Macaca fascicularis: one gene and its partner. The protein of the gene in region 2 interacts with the protein of the main gene of each other region in a pairwise test. Links are inferred from orthologs where the notes say so. Each region holds a gene or a part of one and is shown on either strand. Other genes may lie near its edges.

What was found.
Region 1: the proteins of TMEM79 (region 2) and SFTPC interact in binary tests that used the Homo sapiens proteins (3 or more experiments, as listed by UniProt). The two-hybrid records come from large-scale screens. The link is inferred for Macaca fascicularis from reciprocal best matches to the Homo sapiens genes TMEM79 and SFTPC.

What each region holds. Positions count from the first base shown.
Region 1 is NC_088382.1:25,233,126-25,236,870, reverse strand, and holds SFTPC (surfactant protein C), read right to left. Parts: upstream 2,711-3,745; 5' UTR 2,681-2,710; coding exon 2,639-2,680; intron 2,546-2,638; exon of another isoform or gene 2,516-2,545; intron 2,022-2,515; exon of another isoform or gene 1,958-2,021; coding exon of another isoform or gene 1,925-1,957; coding exon 1,766-1,924; intron 1,419-1,765; coding exon 1,296-1,418; intron 1,064-1,295; coding exon 953-1,063; intron 600-952; coding exon 459-599; 3' UTR 441-458; intron 247-440; 3' UTR 33-246; downstream 1-32. UniProt on the Homo sapiens protein: Pulmonary surfactant associated proteins promote alveolar stability by lowering the surface tension at the air-liquid interface in the peripheral air spaces.
Region 2 is NC_088375.1:104,793,401-104,797,145, reverse strand, and holds the start of TMEM79 (transmembrane protein 79), read left to right. Parts: upstream 1-1,434; 5' UTR 1,435-1,576; intron 1,577-2,848; exon of another isoform or gene 2,849-2,948; intron 2,949-3,739; 5' UTR 3,740-3,745. Other genes in the region: nonsense-mediated mRNA decay factor SMG5, read right to left, coding at 1,118-1,191.

The DNA of each region.
Region 1 (3,745 bases), on a different chromosome or scaffold from region 2:
ACTGTGCCCTACAGAAAGATAGAAGAAGACCCTTTGCTTTTCAATCAGGCTGCTTTATTCTGTTGTGGCAGGAGTTCCAGGGCCCCTGGGCACCACCTCTGCCCGCTCCCATCCTCTACCCAAACTCCAATTTCTCCGGGGCCTGTCCCTGCGTTGTGGGCAGAAGCAGCTTCTTGCCCGTCTGCAAAAGCTGCAAAAGACCCTTTGCCCAGGGCGTTTCCTGTCCCCCTGGGGCTTCCACTGACCCTGTGAAGCAAAGGCATGTTGAAGATGGACAGAGAGGATCGGGGGAGTGGGAAGTACCATTCTGCGAGCCTCCCCTCCCCTGAGCTCCCTGGATGACCCTGCTTCAGTGGATGCCCCAGCGCCTGGTCAGCGCGAGCGCTCCTCCACAGCCCGGGCAGGTGGCCCAAGCGCTCCCAGCGACCCTGGGATCACACCTGCTCACTTGAGGAGTCCTAGATGTAGTAGAGCGGCACCTCGCCACACAGGGTGCTCACGGCCATGCCCAGGAAGGCCAGGTCCCCTCTGGAGGGTGCTGAGCCTGCATCTCGCCCCTCCACCTGGTCCAGCTTAGAGGTAGGCACTGCGGGCTTGGCCTGCGGAGAGCATTCCATTTGAAATCTAGGAAGTGAGTTTGTATCCCGTGTGCAGCCCTTATTGTGGGACTTCAGGTATATCAGGCAATCTCTCTGAGCCTCAGTTTCCTCACCAGTAAAGAGGGGCTGTGCTAGAGTCAGAAGCCACCAGGTAGTGAGTGGACTCAGCTGAGCCCAGCAGCTTGGCAGTGGGGTGGGAAGGGAAGGAGTCGTGCAGGGGAATAGGGAGAGGGGCAGTCAGCAGGCAGCCAACAAGGAACGATGCTTTACAGGTGACAAATAGCCACCATTCAGACGCTCCTCCCAGCAGCCCTGGGAGGGAGACAGCCCACTCCTTTCACCCACACACACACCTGGAAGTTCTGGACTTTTCTAGTGAGCGCCTCAAGACTGGGGATGCTCTCCGGAGCTGTCTTCATGATGTAGCACCAGGTGCCAGGGGCTGGCTTGTAGGCGATCAGGAGCTAGGCACAGAATGCTGGAGATGATTTGGGGGTCCCTGCCCTGCTCTCTCCCTGACCCAGGTCCTTAGCCACCTCCCTCTAGGTTGGGCATGGGAGTTATACTAGAATCTGGGGTTCAGGCCAAAAGGGCTGGAGGAGGGGGAGAGAAGGATGTGGATGAAGTGGCCCAGCTGGGTGGCTCTAGCAGAGCCTTGTCATTGGTCCCAGGGTCAGGAGGTCCGGGCATACCCACCCGCTGGTAGTCATACACCACGAGGCCAGTGGAGCCAACAGAGAAGGTGGCAGTGGTACCCAGGTGCCCACTCCGGGCCAGGTGTTGCTGGGCTTCCGGAGCCCCGATGCTCATCTCCAGAACCTGGGGATAGGGCATGGAGCTGCCTGGTTTTCCCCTTTGCTACTCAGCCTGTGGTACCCATCCCCATCCTCAGGCCTCTGTACTCAAATTTGCTTCCCTCTTTCCCGAGAGCTCAGAGAGGCTGAGTGGAACCAGGTGCTGGGGGGAGCCGCTGTCCTGCTGTGGGGCAGGGGCCCTGTGGAAAAGCCTGGGCTGGGTTGCCACCTGGTTTGTGCCTCTTTCCTTCTAGCTGTGCCCCTTGCCTCCTCCCCTCCACTCCCCTTGGACAGTTTCCTATCGCCCATCCCACCTAGCCCCTCTGTCTGGCATGTCCTATGCCCACAGCCGCCCCATCCCACACCTCTCACCATCTCCGTGTGTTTCTGGCTCATGTGGAGACCCATGAGCAGGGCTCCCACAATCACCACAACGACAAGGACCACCACCACCACCACGATGAGAAGGCGTTTCAGGTGCACCGGGCAGCAGGGGATGCCAAATCGGCCCCGGGGAGCCGCGGAGTAGTCCTGACACAGTGGGGCAGGCAGGGAGACCGGCATGAGGTCATGAGGCTGCCCCTCTTCTCCCTGCACAAGCTGGACACCCTCCCACGGCCGCCTAGGGCTGGACGGTCAATGCGATGGACAGACAGGGAAGGGTTGAGGAGATCAGAGAAGGCTTCTTGGAGGAGGTGGCTTGGATTCTAACAAACCCATAGACACATAGAAGCTTAGAAGCAGGGTCTAGTTTTGAGGGACCCAAGAGAGCCTGCTTCACCTGTCTCTTCCTGCTGTGTCCCCCAGGCCCCTGGCATCTCAGTCATGGTCAGCCCCTCTCTGTTCCCCAAGTGATCACCTCCATGTGGTGACACAAAGTCTCCCTCCTTCCTGGAATGCCTTCCACCTTCTCCACCAGGTGAGCTCCTCCTTATTCTGGCTCCAGCTCATGTGTCGTTTTCTCTGTGAAGTGTCCCCTGACTTCTGAAGTTTTCATGGCTTCTGACTCGGAGCTGTCTACGGATGGCCCTTTCAATCGACCCCAATCATGGCTCTCGGCCCACGAACAACTCCACAAGGGTCCCAGGCTTAGTGGTCTTGGTGTCCCCCATCCTGACTTACCACAGTCCTAGGTTAGTTGAGTGAATGGATCTGGATAAGGAAACAGGCCAGGGAGGATAGAGGAGGCAGGGCCCATCACACACACGCGCGCACACACATACACACACACGCAACCACACTCACCGGCGGGCTCTCCATCAGGACCTCTTTGCTGCCCACATCCATCTTGCTGCAAGTGCTATGCTGTCCTCTCCTGCTCTCCCAGGTGTGACCAGGGTCTTATATGTGTCCATAGGGAGAGAGGACAGAGGTGAAGGACCAAGCCCCCTGTGTGCCAGCCAAGCCCTTGGCTTTGAAGCTTGTTTGTTCCTGGCCCTCCAGAACTGAAGCCCAGATAAGCCAGCTGTGAGAGCCCCCAAGGGCCCTTGGCCCTGGCACATGAGTCCTCTTGGCCCCAGCAAGAGCAAAGCTGGGTGAGCTGAGCAAACTTGCCCTTGGGCCATCTGCACCTCTCACCGTGGGTGTCTTCCTGGCGTGGCCGCCTTCCTTGCTGGCACCTGCCCCTGCTGCCCTGTGGCTTTCCTGATTCTTCTGCCAGCCTGAACCTCTCAGGCAGCCAAGGGTCTGACCATCACATTTCCCAGCAGAATTTCTCGATGCATAGGGATGCACTCCAGGAAGGGGGTTCTGGAGGCAGCACCTGTAGACTCAGAGAGGACTCTGCCTAAAGCAGGAGGTGCTTTGACATCAGTTTTGGGGGTTTCATAAATCTACATTTCCCTGCAAGGACCAATTCCAACTTCAAGCACTCTTTCCCTCACCTCGTCTCCTCCCACACATCTAGTACCAGCCTCAAACTTGCCCCCAGTGATTATTTTCCTGATTCTGGAAACTGTCCCCACTGGTGGCAAGCTCTTACTGATGTGCAGTGCTTCCTTCTTTGCTCTGGGCTTGTCTGTCAATTGCAGGCTTTGCTGATGGCAGATTCCAGGTCTGACACTGCTTTCTTCTGTCCGGACAGCCCTGCACAGGGCTGGCTCTGGTCACTGGTGGGCTCCCAGTCTCCCCATCCTCAAATCAGCCCACTCACCCTGTGGTCTACACTCTACCCCTCTAGACTCCCCCTTCTACATCCTCTGATCCTAAATTTGCCCTGAGAATGATACTCACCCAAATATGATCAACTTTCAGGACTGTCTCCTTCTCTTTTCTCTCTTTCCTAGTGCCTTCCCTAAAGCCATCTCTATGTATTTACGAGGTCAAATCTGCCAATGACTTTGGGCTGGCTCA
Region 2 (3,745 bases):
GATTGAATCACTTTTCTATTTTTGGAGTAGCCTATAGTCCCCTCTGCCTCTGGCTTACAAAGCCAGAGAAGGCAGGATGCCTACTCAGAGGAAAAGACAACATGCCCTCTTGACTCTTTCACTGCCAAAACGGGGCCAAGGCTCTGAGGGTCGTCTTCTCATGCAAGCATCCGTGTTCTATAAAGCCCAAGCTAAATGAAAACCCCAAACTCTACTCTGTAGTAGAAAGCACAAAACTCAGTTTCCATGCTTCGTCCTATTTTGACCCAGTTATGGAGCCCATGTTCTAGCTGACCTACACAACAAATCCTCCACCTTCGATGGGAAGAGCTCATTCGGGCCTGTTCCTAACAGAGGGCTGAAGGGCTGAAGATGTGACTTGTGAAGCGTGGGTGGCATTATGGAAGTCAAAAACCAGGAACGGAAGTTGCCTGGCAAGAGACTACAGTCATGAGGCTGGGAGGAAGGCAGGACTCAGGAGTCCCCAGGTGCCTGGAATTGCCTCCCAGATCCCAAGAACGCTCTGTACACAAAGTCGTTCGTGGCCCTTCCAGGCCAAGACTTTCTCATTCAGACTCCTCAAAATTAGAGCTGTATGGGACTCTAATTTAGAGCACATCCAATTCAAATATTTATTTTTAAGGATAAAGAAACTGAGGCCCAAGGTCACATCGTGAGAGAGTGGCAAAGGATGGACCTAAGCCTAGCTCTACGGACTTTAGTCCAAGACTCTTCCTTGTAAATCCCACAGGATTCCAAGCATCGTTCCCTTCCGGGTTTTTCTACACCTATGACCCCACCTTCACCTACCCAACCCTTCCAGCCTTCAATTCTCACCCTATTACCCGAACTCCACAAAGCTTAGTGCCCGCCCCAAGCAAGCTCACTGCAGAGGGGATTCCTCCACGTGCTTCCCTCCAAACCTCCCACCCACCCAATTCCTCCTTTCAGTTCCATCCTGAGTTACTACGGGACCCCGCCCCGCCTCCAAAATTGCACCCTCCTTCCTCTCCCGCACCTTACCCCGACACACGGGCCCCGCCCGCGCGGGAGGCCCCGCCCCTCGCCGTCTCCCCACTTCCCTTGGCGGCTGCTCTCACGCCCTGGCCCCTCTCACCGGTAAAGCCGCTTAGTGTGGAGGACTTTTGCTTCGGGCTCGCTGCTCTCCCCTGTGGGGGGGCCTTGGCTCATGGTGCCCGGGTCCGGGGGCAGCTCCCGGTCACAGGCCCCCGCCACCCACCACTACCACCACCACTGCCGTCTCCGGCCGTAGCCGCAGCCGCCGCCGCCGCCGGCCCTGCTCGGCCGCCATCGCTGTGAGGCGGCTGCCCGCGACAGCTCCTCCTCCGCCTGGCAAATCTCGCGATGGCAGCCGCACAGTTGCGGACCAGTGGCCTGCTGCTACCAAATCTCGCGAAACTCGTTTTCCCTCCCGGGAAGTTGCCAGAACTAACTCTGGGCAGCATGGCCTCTTTCCGGCTTCTCCAAACCCTTGCGAAAAACTTTATTGGCAAAGCTATCAGAGAACTGACAGTGTACCCACTGAGGCGGCCAAAGCTTAACTGGATCAGGGCAGGTGAGCTTACAGCTAGGAGGGTGACTGCTTTGTCCCACAGTGGTCATTTGGTCCATCCTTCTGCCCCTTTCCCGCCTCCCCGTTTGAACCAAGCCTCTTTCAGATTACTGGTTAGAGTGACTCCAGCTTTCCCTTTTCCCCCATAATTTAAACAAACAAAAAGTGCATGTGAAAGTTTCCTTGGAAAGGGCCGAGCATCACATAGGAGTAAAGCCCTGGAAGAAATGACTTGTACAAGCGTCTTGGCCCTTCAGCTCCCCTCCCAAAGATTTCCAGCTTGCATATCTCTTACCACCCAGTAACATTTATTGAACTGCTGTTTTCCAGCCACAGTGCAGGATTCTAGACACAGAGAGGTGAGCAAGCTAGACACTATCCCTGCCCTCACAAAGCTCAAATGACTTTAGGGATAAGGACTCATAGGAATGAGAAGCTAGTCCCTCACGTTTCTATCTCCTGATCCTCACATTGGATATCAGGGCAGGTGGGCTCACAGCTAGGAGCGTGACTGCTTTGTCTTGTTTTAGCTTAAACCTAAGTTTAAAAGCAAGGGGTTTTTTTGTTTGTTTTGTTTTTTGTGTTTTGTTTTGTTTTTTGCCTGTGTACGAATTGTAATGAGAACATAAATTGCCCTTCTACCGCTATGCTCTTGGCTTCAGCCACCCATCTTCTTTCTGTTCCTGAAACAGCCTAAGTCTTTCCCATCCATTGGTCTTTCACTTGCTGTTCCTCTGCCTGTAACACTCATACTCCTGATTTCCCATCAGGTTTCAGCTCAAATATTACCTTACCAAAGAGGTCTTTCCTATAAAAATTGTCTAATTGATTTAGTTGCTAGGCTTCTTCATTATCTGTTACCCCAATAGAACATAAGCTTCTCAAGGGCAGAGACCTTGACTGTCATCTTGTTCTCCTCTGTGTCTGCCTAGAATAGTTCCTAGCTAATAATGGTGACCAGTAAATATTTACTGAATGAATAAGTGTACAAATTCCATCTCTGGGTATCCCAGCCTACTCCGAGCACCCTTTGGTCCACAAATCCACTTTTCTCCCTCTGCTTTCCTGAGCTGGGAGCTCCTACACATTCCAGTTGCCTAGAATGTGAACTTACCTCTTTGTCCAGCTGCATCCCAACTTTCGGAAAGAATGACGACATCCTCCTCTAATGCTTTTTTTGTCGGCAGATTCAGCAGGGCGGGGCCTGCCCCTTTAATCTGGGCCCCACCTGCTCTGGTCAGACAGGTTTTGAGACACAGGTAAAGGGAGGGAGACAGAGAGAAATACTTGCAGAGCCAGCAGGTAGCTGGGCAGCTCCTTCCCGGACAGACGGACAGACGGATGGACGCTGGGGACCCTCCACTCCATATGGAAAGTAAGAGGATGTCCTGGGTCCAAACTACAAGGTTTGGAGGGCCCTTGAGATGAAGGAAGGGAATCAGTCCCATCCAGAAGCAATGAGATGAAGGGCAGCAGGGAGGGGAGAAAGACAGGAGAGAAGGCATACAAAACAGTCATGATCAGACCTAAATGCCGGAATAACAGATCCAGGCCCTGCAGAGACGGATGAGGTGGACTAGTGAGGAGTTTGGGAACTGACCAAGTACCAATGAAGGAAGAGGGTGCCTGCAACTGCCAGCTTTTTGGGACAGATTAGTTGGCAAATCACTGGTCTCACCTGGAATGCAGGAGGGTTCCAAGCAGGGATATGCAGGGAGAAGGGGAGATGGGACAGTGGAGGGGAAGCTTCTCTGTCTACATACAGCAAGATCCTCGGTAGGAAAGAAACTTGGCAAAGTTCTAGACACCTCTTCTGCCTCCTGTTCCTGCATTAGGGTGGCCATGACTCCAGGGGTTTTGGTGGAGGGGCATAGAAGGTGTGGGTGGAGGCTGACTGAGGCCACAGCTGCCAGGGCCTGTGCCCCTTGACTCACCCTCTCCTGTTGGATGGCATTTGATGTCGAAAGGGTGCCTCCATTTCGGCTGCTCACTTCCTTCCCTCCTCCCTCTGTTTCAACGTCTTCCTCTGTACCAGTTTCTCCCTAAGGCTCCAGAAGGGGCCAAAGCCCATGAAACCAGTTGCCCTGGGGAGTATGAGTTCTGTCAACCTGTCCTAACAACTAGAAGACAGGGGTTTCTGACAGAGCTTTCCTCTGCTCCCTGCAGGATGAC